3 linked regions of the Nothobranchius furzeri genome follow. The protein of the gene in region 2 interacts with the protein of the main gene of each other region in a biochemical or structural test. Links are inferred from orthologs where the notes say so. Each region holds a gene or a part of one and is shown on either strand. Other genes may lie near its edges.

Region 1 (5,093 bases), on a different chromosome or scaffold from region 2:
TTACTTTATCAACAAAATCAAAACAAACAAGGCTGTCACCGAAAATATTTGAAATATTTCAAGCGGTTTACAAATGCGTTTCCCAGTCACTTCATGCATATACAGTGTAATGCAATCAGAAGCGTTAATGCATTTATTTTTTCCATCATTTTTGTTGCTCCCCCAGACGAATCCGTGACAGATCTAGTGGAAGATCCACAGACACTTCCGGGTGGAAGACCGGCGGTGGGTCACCGGCCTCCGGTACAGAATCAGGAAAAGCAGGGGAGCACCAGAGCCAGATGGAGAGCGCCAGAGCAGTTCTCAATTTCTGAAATAATTTATGACAACTGCTACCAATGTGGATTGTGGAATAAAAAGAGATAAACTGTTAGTTTTCTCAATATTGTCATTGCAATCGGGACAGATACCGCCATCTGCCGGCTTAAAATGGTATTGCAGTACATTTTAAACAACTTGGGAGTGAAAAGGCTGTTTTGTCACTACAACGGATTTGGGGATGTAGTTTATTGTTAATAGATATTGTGGTTTCACAACAATAAAGTTTTGTATTGTGCATATGGATTTATGAGTAGTACGAAACAATGTCTGAGTTTCTTGTTCTTTAAATTACAGTCCAATTAATCATACATGTTTGAAATATAATGCTGAAATATTAACCTCTGAACATTTTTTGTTTGTTGATGATATTTCATTTTTAATTTATTATTATTTTGCATCATGATTTATTTTATGGTGTAGTGTCATGTGGTAATTGTTGCAAATTCTAAATGTAATTTTTATTTTCCTCAACTGAGGTCATTTTTATTTGCTTTATTCTTCAGTACGTTGAATGTAGGTTACATTGTAAACTGAATGTATGTGAAAACGAAGATTGAAATAGTTTTAAAAAAGTTTAAAATGTACTGCAATAACCATTTTAAGCCGGCAGATGGCGGTATCTGTCCCGATTGCAATGACAATATTGAGAAAACTAACAGTTTATCTCTTTTTATTCCACAATCCACATTGGTAGCAGTTGTCATAAATTATTTCAGAAATTGAGAACTGCTCTGGCGCTCTCCATATGGCTCTGGTGCTCCCCTGCTTTTCCTGACTCTGTACCGGAGGCCGGTGACCCACCGCCGGTCTTCCACCCGGAAGTGTCTGTGGATCTTCCACTAGATCTGTCACGGATTCGTCTGGGGGAGCAACAAAAATGATGGAAAAAATAAATGCATTAACGCTTCTGATTGCATTACACTGTATATGCATGAAGTGACTGGGAAACGCATTTGTAAACCGCTTGAAATATTTCAAATATTTTCGGTGACAGCCTTGTTTGTTTTGATTTTGTTAATAAAGTAAAAAATAAAAACGTTGGCATGATGAGGCCGATGATGCATAAGTGCTGCAATTACTGAGGTCACTACTACAGCCGCAGGTACCGTGGCAGCAGTGGTAGGAGGCGTGGCTAGTGCCACTAAAAGTCGTGGTAGGGGGCGTGGCTAGTGCCACTAAAAGTCGGAAGTGTAATGGCAGCAGTGGTAGGGGGCGTGGCTAGTGCCACTAAAAGCCGTGGTAGGGGTCGTGGCTAGTGCCACTAAAAGTCAATAATCCAATAATACCTAGCTGCGGACATTGCCCAGGAAAAACGTTTTTCCTGGGCAATGTCCGCAGCTAGACCTTACTCCTAAAAGTCGTGGCACCACCCGGAAGTGTAATGGCAGCAGTGGTAGGGGGCGTGGCTAGTGCCACTAAAAGCCGCGGGTGCCACTAAAAGCCGTGGCACCACCCGGAAGTATCAGAGCTGCCACTGTAAGTGCCACAAGCGCTGCCGCTGCCACAAATTGCGCTCGGTCCTGCTGAACGACCGTTGGGACCTTCTATCCATGTTTTTGTTGATTGCTTTCATGTAACTTTGTTTTGGTTCCATTTACAAAGATACATTTCCAAAAACTTACAAAAAATATTTCTATGTATGAAATACTTCTTATTGTTACTAACCCTCATTTATCATCCAATGAAAAATACATAATTAACTTAATCATTATTTTAGCAAAATATTATTTACATAAAAATTTTTCAGAACAGTATCCCCTCCATCTATAATTTAAGAATTACAGACCTTATGAAATATTGGAACAGCATTGAAAAATTAAAAAAGAAGAACAACAAACTAACAAAGATCATCAACTTATTTCATCATTTCAACTTAGACACAGCAGACCCCTAAGTGTTATGTTTTTAAGTTATATATGTTTTCGTCAGTTCTTTGTTTATTTCTTGTTTGTTTGTTTAATGGTTTCCTAATGTTGCATGTGTGTTATTGCAGTTGTAAACAACTGTAAAATGTGATCCATGGATATATTGAATGTATTTTCTGAATGTATCGACAACAAGTTAATAAAACCTGTTAAAAAAACATCCGTGCTTCCTCGTCGAATTTTCCTACCAACGCGCATTTCAACAGCTGATTCAGTCTGTCCAGGTTTACTGAAAATCGGTAGCTACTGTTAATTTATTTTATGAAAAAAAGGTGGATAGTGTAAGAAGCAGTTTAGTCATTTCGTAAAAATTAACCCCTTAGTTGCTAAAATATTTGAATATTCTCAGAACAATGACGATTTACCAACTTTCACCCATGTCGAAAGTATTCATAAAAATGGAGATTTGTATTTCCTTTATTAGAAAAATTAATCTACATAGAACAAACATGCTTTTCCCCCAACAGTCAGTTATTTGTTTGAATGTATAATTTTGGAGATTATTATGCAACTATGATAAATTTATTATATGTATATGTTAAGAACTGAGATCTGCAAAAGATCATGATTTAATATTGATTTATATTACATTATTATGTTTGTGTTCTCATTTGTTTTATCTCTGTATGTATACCTTTATCTTTGTATGTTTATATTGTAAATACTTATGGGTTATCTTTTGTTAACTAATGTCATGTGGTTTAATTCAACCAATGAGATCGCTGTCAGTGACGCATAAGAGATGACGTGACAGAAGAAACCGGTGTTCCCTGATTGAGAAGCTAAGCAGTGATGAGGCTGTATTTCCTCCATCAGCACGATTGATGACTCTGCTAACAGTAGAATATAAAACTTTTGGATGTTAATTTGGGACTCTTTCAGAATGACTGTAAACAATGGGAGAAATTTCTTGTTTACAGTATAATAACGACATTTTAGAAGGCATTTACAAGCAAACTGTCAGGTAAACATACAGCAAACAGTAATTTAACAAAACAACTTAAAGAAATACTTACTGTGACCTTCGAAGAGTTGAAAGTAACTAGATAAGTGACGAGATTAAACGCAAACTTCCACAGGTAGCGGTCTCGACTTGTAAACAGCCTGTGACGCAATAGGCGCATGCGCATTTCCCCAAAGTAGCATTACGACGGGGAGCACGGATTGTCGCAACACCAGCTGTCAGACATCTGCCGCAGGTAAGAGCCTCTGATTAAACCAGTGAAAACCTTTTTACCGCCATCTCCAATTTCAGCCTGAAACCGACTCGTTCAGAACCGAGCTGTTTGAATAACCGGGGCGGAGGCTGGAGGTTGGTTCCGCTCTCAAACCCGAACTCAAGTGTGTTTACTGGCCTGCTCCATGCAACGAGCTCCGGTTCTGTGTTGAGTTCGTGTTTAGCGGTGATTTTTGGTTATTTATCACAGACTAATGACTCAAATCGGTGTTCTGTTCAAGAATGATTTGGCAGTCTGGGTCAGATTCAGATTATTATCACGTGTAGAAGTAAGTAGTATGTTGTGTTTTATCCAAAGCGTCTTACAATTTATAACCTGTAGGGCGTGTTGTGATGTGTGTACCCGGAGGAAACCCACGCATGCATGGGGAGAACACGCAACTCCACGCAGAAAGGCTGCAGCCGAGTTTCGACCCTGTGACCTTTGTGCTGTGAGGCAACAGTGCTAACCACTGCGTCACCATGCAGCCTCAAGTAGTGCGTGTATGAATGAAGTATTCTGCTTCTGGTGAGGATGTTCCGGTTCTAGGAGAAGGACTGGACTGAGGTCCACTCAGGAAAATGGAACCGCTTCCTCAAAGTTCCTGGAACCGAAACTAAACTTAAGTTTTGTCTTAATTCAGGATTTTTAGTCAAAACTGTAAGAAGATATAGACAAAAGAGAGGATTTAATTAGAGGGGAAGAAAAAACATTAAATTTTATGTGAAAACATAAAAATAACTGAAAACTGTTTAAATAAAATTTTATTAATTTGGTAAAATTCATCAAACATAAATTTAAAATGTCAGAAACTAAACCTGTTTTATTTGTTATTGAATTGGAAAACAGCTGATTAAATGTCCTGGTGGGACTGGGACTGTTATTCCTAATGGGTTCTGAACTTGTGCTGACCCTGATTCTTGTTTCTGGTTTTGTTTCAGAGAGAACTTCTCGTGCGTTGCTGCTGCTGCTGCTGCTGCTGCTGCTGCTGCTGCTGCTGCTCTGGACTATTGCAGTAATATGCAGCATGACCCTGCCAGGAGGTCGTCCGTGTCCCTGCTCTGTGGACGAAGAGCCTCCCCGAAAGCCTTTGACGACTCTCAGAACTTTGCTGAAGCATTGCCGATGGAGATGAGCGTGAGGATCTTCGGAGAGCTGGATGCAGAGAGCCTCTGCAGCGCCTCACGGACCTGCAGACTGTGGCGGGACATCATCGAGCAGAGCGAGCAGCTGTGGAGGCGGCAGTGTCTGCTGGTGCGGGCGGTCTGTCAGAGGGAGGTGGACAAAGACCGGGGGGACGGCTTCTCCTGGAAGGTGGGTCTCCTCGCCCTCCCTCATATCCAAACTAAACATCTCTGCTGCTGATCAGCTGAGAGGTTCCTGTTCAGTGTTGCCGCTGTAGACCCAGACCCAGATCACGGTACCAACACTTACCAGGTGTTTTCTGTCCCGCCTCTTGTCTCAGGTAACTCTGGTGAGAAACTACACCCGGAGCTGTGCGAAGAGAGACTGGCTGAGAGGCCGATACAGCAGCGTGAGCTCAGCCGACGAGCTGCTGGGGAGGAAAATGGTACCGTTTGATGCAGAGACGTGGGGAGAGATCCTTCAGGCCGAGCTCAACAGGTGAAAC
Region 2 (5,192 bases):
CGCCGGTCTGCCGCGTCACAACTTCTACCTGTGCCTGCTCATGCTGAGCGTTTTGATCATGTTCACACAGAGCTCCATCTTCAGCCTGCTGGCCGTGGCCGTGGAGCGCTACGTCGCCATCTTCATGCCCTTCCGTTACTGCGTCCTGATGACGCCTCGCAACGCCGTCCTGGTGATCTTCGCCACGTGGCTGCTGGCCTTCCTCATCGGCCTCGTGCCCCTGATGGGCTGGCACAAAACGCCGCCCGATTCCGGCAACTGTGTCTTCGTCCTGGTGGTGGACATGACCTACATGGTGTATTTCAACTTCTTTGCATGCGTGCTCACGCCGCTGCTCGCCATGTTCCTAATCTATGCTCGGATCTTCATTGCGGTCAAGCAGCAGATGCGACGCATCGGGCCAGAGCAGGGCGGCCGAGGGGCGGCGCGTCAAACCAGAGCCGCAGCTAGCATGCGCCGGGAGATAAAGATGGTGACGTCTCTCTTCCTCATTCTGTTTCTCTTCACGGTCTGCTGGATCCCGCTTCATGTCATCAACTGCTTCCTGCTGCTCTGCCCTCGCTGCTCCGTGCCGCTGGAGCTGCTGCTCACCGCCATCATCCTGTCACACGCAAACTCCACCATCAACCCCTTCCTATACGCGTACACCATGACGGCTTTCAGGGACACGTTTAAGGACATTTTCTTGTGCTGCAGGACGATGAGCAGCAGGAATAACATCGCTGAGGAAACAAATCTCTAAACTAAACGTTTGTCATCTCACCCCTCAGATTTGACAGCAGGGAGCCTCTTCTTAAGATCGTTCTTGTCTTCGGCGCGCAGCGCGTCGAATCCCTTCAGCTGGGCGGCGGAATAATCGGGCTTAAACACCAGTTCCTCCCTGCGGCTCACGAAGCACGCCGTGTGGTACCAGCGGTCGATCAGACCCAGCTGAGGTTTCTCTGGGTCAACCGTTTTCTTGGAAACACGAATCTGATCCTGAAAGAGAAGCAAAAATACGGCAGACATGTGAAGTATTTATGACACGTGTTCAACGGTTATTGATTAAGACATTTCCTGTGCTGCGGACCTTTTCTATTTTTTGCTCGCAGCCTTTGCACGTGCTGCGGTTCGACTTGGCGTACTCCACGGCAAAGTTATTCAGAGTTTTGGCCCCTTGAGCGGCACCTTTTGAATCACTTTTCCCTGCAAGATGCAAAGGAAAATAAGTCTAAACATTTAAAAAAAATATGCATTAATAGTAAATGATAAATTAAAAACATTTAGAACAACTTGAGAAATGGCACTCTTTTGACTTTTTATGGATCACTTCACTTTTTTATCTGGCTAATAAGACAAAGTTAAACCAATTGAAAGTAGCTATCTTAAGCTCTTTTGCTTACGATCCAATCCAATTTTATTTATAAAGCGCATTCACAAGGCATTACAACCAAACAAGGCGCTGAACACAATAATTAAAGATCTACCACCGACCTGCTCCGACAGCTCCTCCAGTCTCAATAGCCTTTTTGACTTTTTGCTGGTCCTCCCAGCGAAGAGTGGAGAACCCGGCGATGTCTGCTTCAGTCTGAGCTGCCGCTCGCTGCCAGAAGCAGGAGAAGTGGTGCCAGTGTGGGACTTTCCCATCGAACATCGGGGACTGGAGGACAAAAACAAGACAATGAAGCAACAGCAAATATCAGAAAAAAAAGATGAAAAAAAAAAACAAAACCATTAAAGTGAGAATAAAGGTTTTTCTGTTTGAATTTTTCTGGTTTCTGAATTTGAATGTTGTTTTGTTGTTGGATTTCTGTGCTAGTCATGGATTGTTGTCGTTTCGTCTGACCTGCGGCCGCGTGTCTTGGACACTCGGGTGAAGAGAGGGGCGGAGCAGGCAACTGACAACTACCTGGTGGTGAGTTGGCTCAGATGGTGGGGGAGGATACCGGTCAGACCAGGCAGGCCCAAACGTATCGCGAGGGTCTGCTGGGAACGTCTGGCAGAGTCTCCTGTCAGAAGGAGCTTCAATTCCCACCTCCGACAGAACTTCCAAAATGTTCCGGGGGAGGCGGGGGACATCGAGTCTGAATGCACTCTTTTCCGTGCCTCTTTTGTTGAGGCGGCCGACCGGAGCTGTGGTCGCAGGATCGTTGGTGCCTGTCGTGGTGGCAACCCCCGAACCCGCTTGTGGACACCGGCGGTTAGGGATGCCGTCAAGCTGAAGAAAGAGTCCTAACAGGTCTTTTTGGCCTGTGGGACTCCAGAGGCAGCTGACGGGAACCCGCAGTCCTGCCTGGTGAGGTTTTCTGGGCACGTCCAACCAGGAGGAGCCCTTAAGGTAAACCCCGGACACGGTGGAGGGACTATGTCTCTCACCTGGCCAGGGAACGCCTTGGGATTTCACCAGAGAAGCTGGCCCAAGTGGCTGGGGAGAGGGAAGTCTGGGCCTCTTGACTTCGGCTACTGGCTACTACCCATCTCCGGATAAGCGGATGAAAATGGATGGATGGAATTTTTCTGGTTTTACATGACAAACGTTTTTTGTGCATTAAAAAAATTCAGATTTTACTCACGTTAAAAATAAAATCATGAATTTGTAAACAAGGGTTTTCACAATTTTGTCTTTAAAACTACAGATAATAATTCTGACTTACTTATTTAAACAAGTATAACAAATAAACATATTCACAAGAATGTCAATGTTTCATGCAGCCAGAACTAAAAAAAAATTGACATATTTTGCAGAAAATACACAACACACGGTTGGGTTTTCCAACAATAAAAACAAAAAGGAACCACTGACCTGATAATATGCATTACTGTAACTATTAAGACGTTACAAAAGAAATACTATATAGACTATATTTTGTGGCTGAAACTTTAAATGTGTGCAAGTGGTAATGAATTTTCCTTCCTTTTGCAGGGGTGAGTGCTGATCTGGACCCACAGACTGACCAATAAGCAGGAGTTTGACTCTTACATGATTATTTCTCTATTGCACAGACTGGAACAGCTGCTTGTGTGATTTTTTTTATCTATGTCTCTTGAGTGGAGGAGAGGATGGAGCAGTTGTATTCTGCAGCACACTGGATGGGTCTCAGACATTGTCCTAAGTCCCTCTGAGGCGATCCAGGCGGCTCTTTGTGAGCCAGATTCATTCAGTCAGCCATTTAAATGCTAACCGGGGGCCTCACTTAGCACAACTCAAACTCCTTTATAAACTACACTAGATTAGTTTAAAGTCTGATTATTATGGTTCTCTATATGCGCACATATGATTTAGATATCAGCACGGTTATAAAAGGCTTCATAACAGAATGGTTCCTTGGTTAAATCCCTCCAGACGTCGCTACCTCCTCACCTGCACCATGAGGGCCATCCTCAGCGAGTCCTTAGCTATGCTCTCTTTGCATTTCTTGCACGAAGCCCGGCCGCTTTTCGCGTATTCCGCCTTGTAGAGCTTGTCATCTTGGGAGTCCGCCATTGTTCCTTAATGTTGCAAACAAGCAAACAAAGCGACGTGATGAAGAGGGCAACTTTCTCCGATGCACTCTCGGAGCCACCACAACAATCACAGGCAGAGCGGCGGCTGCAGCCCGCGTGCTACTTGGAGAGGAAGCTCACGAGACGAGGTCTCACTCTGACTCCGATTTACAATCCACGTAAGTTTTAACTTTGTTTTAATGTACTTTGTGGTATATTACGTTTTAGTTTGTTTACGTTATGATTCGAGACATTATGATGATTCGTTTGGCCATTTTAAACTTCTGTGTGGTCCCCACCTGTTTGTATTTTTCTCTAATGTACCGAAAAAAATCAGGGTTGAGTTGTTACACTGTAACCACATAACAACTTTGTTTATTCTTAACGGTTCATAAAAGAGAGAAACATTTGGCCACTCTAACCCAGAGCTAGAGTAGCTCTGCCCTAACCTAAATCTCTGACGCACTGTGATTTTTATCTTGAAAGGCGCTACACACATTAACTTTTCTTCTTCTACCAAGTGGGGCATCTTAAGAGCAATATAGGATCAGTGAACTGGTTCGCAGAATTCCCGCGCGAGTTTCAGCCAGAACTAATGGAGCACAGATCAATCAGATTTTTACAAAACTAAACATGAAATTCTACATGAAGCAAAACTATTAAGTATGTTAATTATAAATATATTTACAATAGTTGCATTTGTTTATAGTTGATCACTGAGAACTAATGCGCAAACAAACAATTCCAAAGAATAGTTCTGCTTTAAGATTTTTATTTGCACAATTCACATTGAAAGTTTATGTAAAAAATAAACATACAAAATGTAAATACAATATGTGTTCATCAAATGAACTTCAGTCTTTTGAAAACAAAATTTTTAAAAACTATGACCTGATTATAAGGGCCTAGATAACAATTTGGGTTCAATAACGACAATAATAATACACTGATGGAGACTTTCATTTACTCGTCTTTACAATAATTTTTCACATAGTCATTAATTAGTAAAATTATTTCTAAAAAATCTTTGGGCTTACTAATAAATATAAAAACATCTTTAACTGTAAACAAAATTGGTGGAAAATAACTCACTAAAAACGTCAACCAGGGCTTTACAGGCCACTGAGTAAAATTCTAAGAGGTATTGTGTGTTTTGGCGTAGAGGTCTCACCTCTTGCTAGCACATTTTCTAAGCAAGCAAGAAAATGTGTTGGCTTTTCTTTAACTGGACAAAATAGCATAAACAACAACTGAAAACAGAGATTTCAGATGATGAAGTTAACCTATATTATGATGCTATAAATAGTTAATTTCCAAAGTAAGGTTTAGATGAGAAATCATAGATGATTTCACCCAAGACGGTCTCAACTCATTTAGTTTTATAGTGACAGGATGGATCAGAAGGAAAAAGGAGTTTGGCAAGACTTGATCCAACTAGCAAACCTTGAAATACATTCATGGAATGTGTCTTCTTCTTTGTGCATTGCTCAGCAAAGCAGCTTACTGGGAGTCAAAGTGAAATTCCCATTGGACTCTCTCATCCTCTCTTTGTGTCTGGCCTGGACAAGACCAAATACCACTTCTGCTAGAGTCATGCGTCCTGCTGTGCGGCCACCTGGGCGCCCATCTGTTCCGATGTTGGCTCTTTTGCTGCGCATGGTGCTGATGAAGTATGTGCGAACATTCCCCTGGCATTCACTCACCTGAACAGAAGTACAATCAAATATGGT
Region 3 (5,048 bases), on a different chromosome or scaffold from region 2:
CCTAGAACTGAAGGACAGGAGGAGGATGGTGAAGTAGAGGAACAAGCCGACACTGATACCCATGTTAGGAGGGCTGAGCGGGATCGCCAACCACCGATGAGGCTCGACTACACTGAATTGGGGAAACCAATTGTCACCGTGGTAAAGTCCTTCTTCCAAGGGTTGACCGATGCGTGGAATGACATGGTAAATGAAGGTGAAGCACATGCTTCTACTCTTGCCTTTACCCCCAAGAGACATTTGTGTGAACCTTGTCATGCACAGGGACGTGCAAGAGTTCAGGAGGGGAGAGTGTAACCCACATCAGAATTGTGGTTTGTGCTGCGGCATAAGGTTGGAGGTGTAATTTCCCTCTCCGCCACTAGGAGGCGAGTATGCCTTGAGATGACTTCCTGTTAGTCAGCACTTCCTGTTGTGAAAGCCGTTACTCACGAGGCAACCGCCAGATTAACTGAAAGATCCTGGATCTGAATTCTGTGAAATATGGGCGTGGGAAGCTGCGTCAGCCAGGCGAGCTATCTCACCACGAGCTCCGATTGGTTTTTTGACCAGGACCGGATCATTTGAGATCTGAACCTTGTGGGTTCAGTGGCGAGCCAGTTCCAAGAGAGTGACTGTAGACGGACCAGAGTACGGTGTGGCCAGCCGTGGGATCCATCTTCAGCGAACCCCAGGACTATCACTACATCCCTTGACACAGATAAGACTGACACTTTTAAAAAATCTACCCGGGTAGTGTTAGATCCACTGGACAGAAACGCACACACACAAACTAATTTCTCTTTCCAAAGAGAAGTGGACTGAGCAACAGGAGTGGAAGCTCTTTAATTGAAACTCTTTGGAGAATTTCCTCAAAGAGGGTTTTGGTTTTATTTTGAGTCCTTTAATGTGCGTTTGTGCACTGTAGGAAGCCGGCTTAGACAGGCAGGGTTTGTAAACTTTACACCTTTTCAATACAGTTTCTATTTAAATCATATCTTATCTGTCATTGTGTGGTTCCTTCTCTGCTGATCCTTTCAAGGCTCCATAATCTTACCTAGAACTTTTGATACTGGTCCAGAGTTGTCAAGACAATAGTTCAATACCTATTTCATATTATTTAATTGTAATACCCGTTACATGAGCAATATCGGTCTACCCCTAACTCTAACCTCATCATCTTCCTACCTATGTAATCATTGTCTCTCATCTGGACATATCCAAACCAACTCAGTCTGTCCTCTCTGACTCCAAAACATCTAACATAATGTAACGTTACCGCATGCTGTTGGAAAAGAAGCGTGCTTGCCTTCTAGGTGATCTACTGCTGTCGGCGTGGTATGTATGTGCGGTGCGCCCCCTCCCTGCACGCTCAGTATGAATATTCTTTTCTGGGTTAATAAGGTTTATTACCTTTTTTGTTTAGGACCCGAGGTGTTGTGATGCTACGACAAAGTGTTTTGAGTCACTGCTGTGACCCCCCTCCCCTCTCTCCCTCAACAACCGAGGAGCGGTTCGACAGAGCGGACCGACCTATCGGGAGCAGTTTGGGCCACCGCTCACTGTACGTTTACATGCAGCCAGTAACCCTTTTAAAACCCGAATATTCACAATAACCCGGTTCCGCACGGCCATGTAAACACCGCCAAAAGCCCGGATATGCTCATAACCGGGTTTTTAAAAACCCGGTTACTACACCTGGGGTAACCCTTTTCTAACCCGAATGTTTGGTCGTGTAAACACATATCGGGATATCCCCTTCAAAGCGTGTGTTCTGCGCATGCTCTGTTCGCAAGGGATCTTGGTCTTTTGAGAAGCGAGACGTCTTGTATGCGCCAGAACACTGGAAGTAAACAAGATGGGAGCAACATGGCGAGTCGCGGCACAGCACCACACTTTTGGAGTGACGAGGAAACCTGTCTTCATCGGTCTGGTGAAAAGTATGAACATTATGTCTTTTGTTGACAGCCGAAAGTACAGAGACAGCGAAATATGACGCATATTGCGTCTTGACGTAGTCCATACGTCCTGACGCTACCCCAACGTCCGCATTTAAATCGGGTTATGCAAGTTAGGGGTAACTCTTTCTATTTATTATGCTTGTAAACGGGTTATTCTGATCAACTCAGAAACCCGAATACCGACCTTAACCCGATCATAACCCGGATATTGGCTGCATGTAAACTCAGAGCATAACCGAGGATTTTAACCAGTGCTGGTGCTCCTCCGCCAGACGTTCTCCCGCCCAGCATGTTGGTTGGAGTGGAAAGGGAGACCTTTTCTCACCTCTGACGCATGAGGATTTTGGAGCACTATTGTATTTCAACAGAGTTTATTTTATTGTGGTTTTTAACTTTTATTTGTCCAGGCTGGAGCCAAGGGTGGTGGCGGTGGTTCTTCCGTGTGCGAGTTGGTGTGGGCCCCCCTTCACATCTGTGTGACTGTTCACTGGTGCTTTGGGTGACTATTGGTATTTAGTTTGTGTTGTTGCTAGAACCTCCAGTGGGTCCACCTTACCTTGGTAAGCTCCAGCCTGGTAACACTAATTATTTTCTTTCCTTGTTTTAATTCTCCCTTTCTATTTTTAAATTAGTAGTTTAAACTGCTGTCCTTTTAACAAAACACGAAATAAAATTGTGGACTTTGCGTACACCTCGTTTCTGTCGCCTTTGTGAGAGCATTGAACCTATGTGCGCCTAAAGGTACCATTTTATTTTCCTTGGGTGAAATTCCCAAGATGGCATTGTTTTAATCTTTTAACTTAACATTCTGTTTAGTACCAGCACACCCATACCACCTCTGTCACCACAATAAGCTGCCCCTTTCTTCTTAAGCTGCGCAACCTCTAACTCTACTTCCTGTCTTTACCTTGTGGACGCTGTCTCTAAAGCAGACATGGCTGGTCTCACTAGTATCTTTACACCTTAGTAGAAACTCCTCACACCTGATACCTTCCATCTAAATCTACAGTACTTCCATCTAAATCTACAGTACTGAGGATGGTATTTGTTTACAGGCGTATTCATTTAAGCGCAATTAATTTCAAAGTGTTCTTCAAGGAAGTCAATGTGTCACTAAAATAACAAAAACAGGTGGCTTCGGTCCAAAATCTAAACGGATGGAGTTTCGTTTTACCATCACGACCAGAGACAACTGGTTAGCAGTTAGCTTCTCTCACAACTGGTTAGCAGTTAGCTTCTCTCACTCACCACCAGGTGTTTTCATGTGTTCGGCTCGAACGTGACACGTCTCACCTCAAACGGAGAATTCGCGGTCCAAGAAAATCTACTTCTGCCCCAGAACACCGAAACGAACGATTGTAATGTTAGCTTTTACTTTCTGCGCCTTCTGCGGTTACAACCGGAAGTTGTACTCTAACGGTGAGCTCACTAGCGCCCCCTGCAAAGTTCAGATGGAACTGCGACGTTAAAAATGTGTTAAAACAAATTTAAGAAAATCATATTATTTGATAGTAATATATTTATCTCCAATTCCATTTTCTTGAATAATCAATGCAGTACACAAATTTAATGGTTCAGTTTGAAACTGATTTTATTGATGCCAAAATCAAGCCTCCAACATGATAGAACTATTCCAGGACTAAACTTACAATCACTCTGACTAAGGTTCTGTTACAAAAATAATGTTATCAATAAAGTAAAAATAATATCAGTAAATTTTGCATATAATATTTTTAAAATGAAGTGTGATTTGCGTCAAAGTTCTCCATCATACAAAAATATTTAAAATTATTAGAAATACTCACCAGATCTATTTTGAACCTAAAATGGTAAACTCAACAGCAGAAAATACTGATTATATTTTCCTCACAAACCACCTTGAATTTACATCTGAACCACATGGGGTCCAGATCTAAACCATCACTGTTTACAACCATAGTCAAAACGCATTTGAACATATGCATTTTTTTTTAAACTTTCAACAAGTTTTATTTGAAGAGCTTGTCCAGAAAAACTCTGATCAGACCACTGAAACATTTTGGTGTGATCAAAAAATTTATTCTGAGATGATTAAAATCATTTATGATTTAATTTTGTATCAGAAGGCATTGACAATATGGTTCTTAACCAGAAGGAGGATTTGTCAGAGTAAAACAAACATCTTGTATTGACCAAGGAACAGATGGCTCAAACAGGTCAACATAAAAGTTTCAACATTCAGATTTTATTTGAAGTCAAATCAACAAATGCATCAATGACATCAGCCACGCAAACTTTCACAGCTTCCTGCTGTCACAAATGAAGCAAAAACATTCAACAAAAGATGAGCTGAAGCAAACAGGTCCAGTGGTGCCAGAGCCAGGTCAAAGATGCTGAGGCAGATGCACGAATGTTTACATAAACATGAAATAAACAAAATCAGTTTCATGTTTTAAGTAAAGATCTATGAGATTGGAAACATGTGACAAAAGGAAAGCTACATATCTATCCACCTATCTGTCAACAACTGCCAGAAGCATTGTGGGAGCTGCAGTACTGTATGGTGACCCAGTGCATTGTGGGAAAACCTGATCGGGGGCTGGAAAATTCCAGCGTGACCTGGCAGGGTCTGCTTTAGGGCCGCGCCTTCATGAGCGCCTCACCGAGCCAGATTCCTGAACGCAGCACTGAAAAGACAAGTTGTCAAATAAAGGTCTGTAAGAACAGAATCATTCACTTTTGATTTTAAACTGAATTTATTAAAAAGCTAAATCCTCTCAGGTGGATTTGGTCCACCCAGCTTTCACCCAAAACATGCATGTCACATGTCATGGACAAAAAGAAGGAACTGATCTTAAAACTGCCTGTTAAAAGTCAAAGCTTTGAAATCATCACATATAAGTAAGTAAGTAAGTAAGTGAGTAAGTGTGTGTGTGTGTGTGTGTGTGTGTGTGTGTGTGTGTGTGTGTGTGTGTGTGTGTGTGTGTGTGTGTGTGTGTGTGTGTGTGTGTGTGTGTGTGTGTGTGTGTGTGTGTGTGTGTGTGTGTGTGTGTGTGTGTGTGTTTACCTGTAATTTAGCTCTAAGTTGAGGTAAAAGTCATGGGATCCATCTGGTTCATCTTCAGGTGT

The links. The genes of interacting proteins can lie anywhere in the genome.
Region 1: the proteins of parp1 (region 2) and aplf form a complex in vitro, tested with the Homo sapiens proteins (3 studies listed by BioGRID and IntAct, with this or other methods). The link is inferred for Nothobranchius furzeri from reciprocal best matches to the Homo sapiens genes PARP1 and APLF.
Region 3: the proteins of parp1 (region 2) and rnf4 form a complex in vitro, tested with the Homo sapiens proteins (2 studies listed by BioGRID and IntAct, with this or other methods). The link is inferred for Nothobranchius furzeri from reciprocal best matches to the Homo sapiens genes PARP1 and RNF4.

The regions. Positions count from the first base shown.
Region 1 is NC_091746.1:29,719,189-29,724,281, reverse strand, and holds the start of aplf (aprataxin and PNK-like factor), read right to left. Parts: upstream 3,380-5,093; 5' UTR 3,263-3,379; intron 1-3,262. Other genes in the region: fbxo48 (F-box only protein 48), read left to right, coding at 4,484-4,777, 4,929-5,090. UniProt on the Homo sapiens protein: Histone chaperone involved in single-strand and double-strand DNA break repair.
Region 2 is NC_091742.1:4,979,340-4,984,531, reverse strand, and holds the start of parp1 (poly [ADP-ribose] polymerase 1), read right to left. Parts: upstream 3,588-5,192; 5' UTR 3,464-3,587; coding exon 3,341-3,463; intron 1,640-3,340; coding exon 1,474-1,639; intron 1,186-1,473; coding exon 1,070-1,185; intron 979-1,069; coding exon 764-978; intron 758-763; exon of another isoform or gene 743-757; coding exon of another isoform or gene 1-742. Other genes in the region: adorb1a (adenosine A2c receptor), read left to right, coding at 1-742; si:dkey-206f10.1 (adenylate cyclase type 8), read right to left, coding at 4,950-5,165. UniProt on the Homo sapiens protein: Poly-ADP-ribosyltransferase that mediates poly-ADP-ribosylation of proteins and plays a key role in DNA repair.
Region 3 is NC_091741.1:64,324,921-64,329,968, reverse strand, and holds the start of rnf4 (E3 ubiquitin-protein ligase RNF4), read right to left. Parts: upstream 3,380-5,048; 5' UTR 3,234-3,379; exon of another isoform or gene 3,189-3,233; intron 1-3,188. UniProt on the Homo sapiens protein: E3 ubiquitin-protein ligase which binds polysumoylated chains covalently attached to proteins and mediates 'Lys-6'-, 'Lys-11'-, 'Lys-48'- and 'Lys-63'-linked polyubiquitination of those substrates and their subsequent targeting to the proteasome for degradation.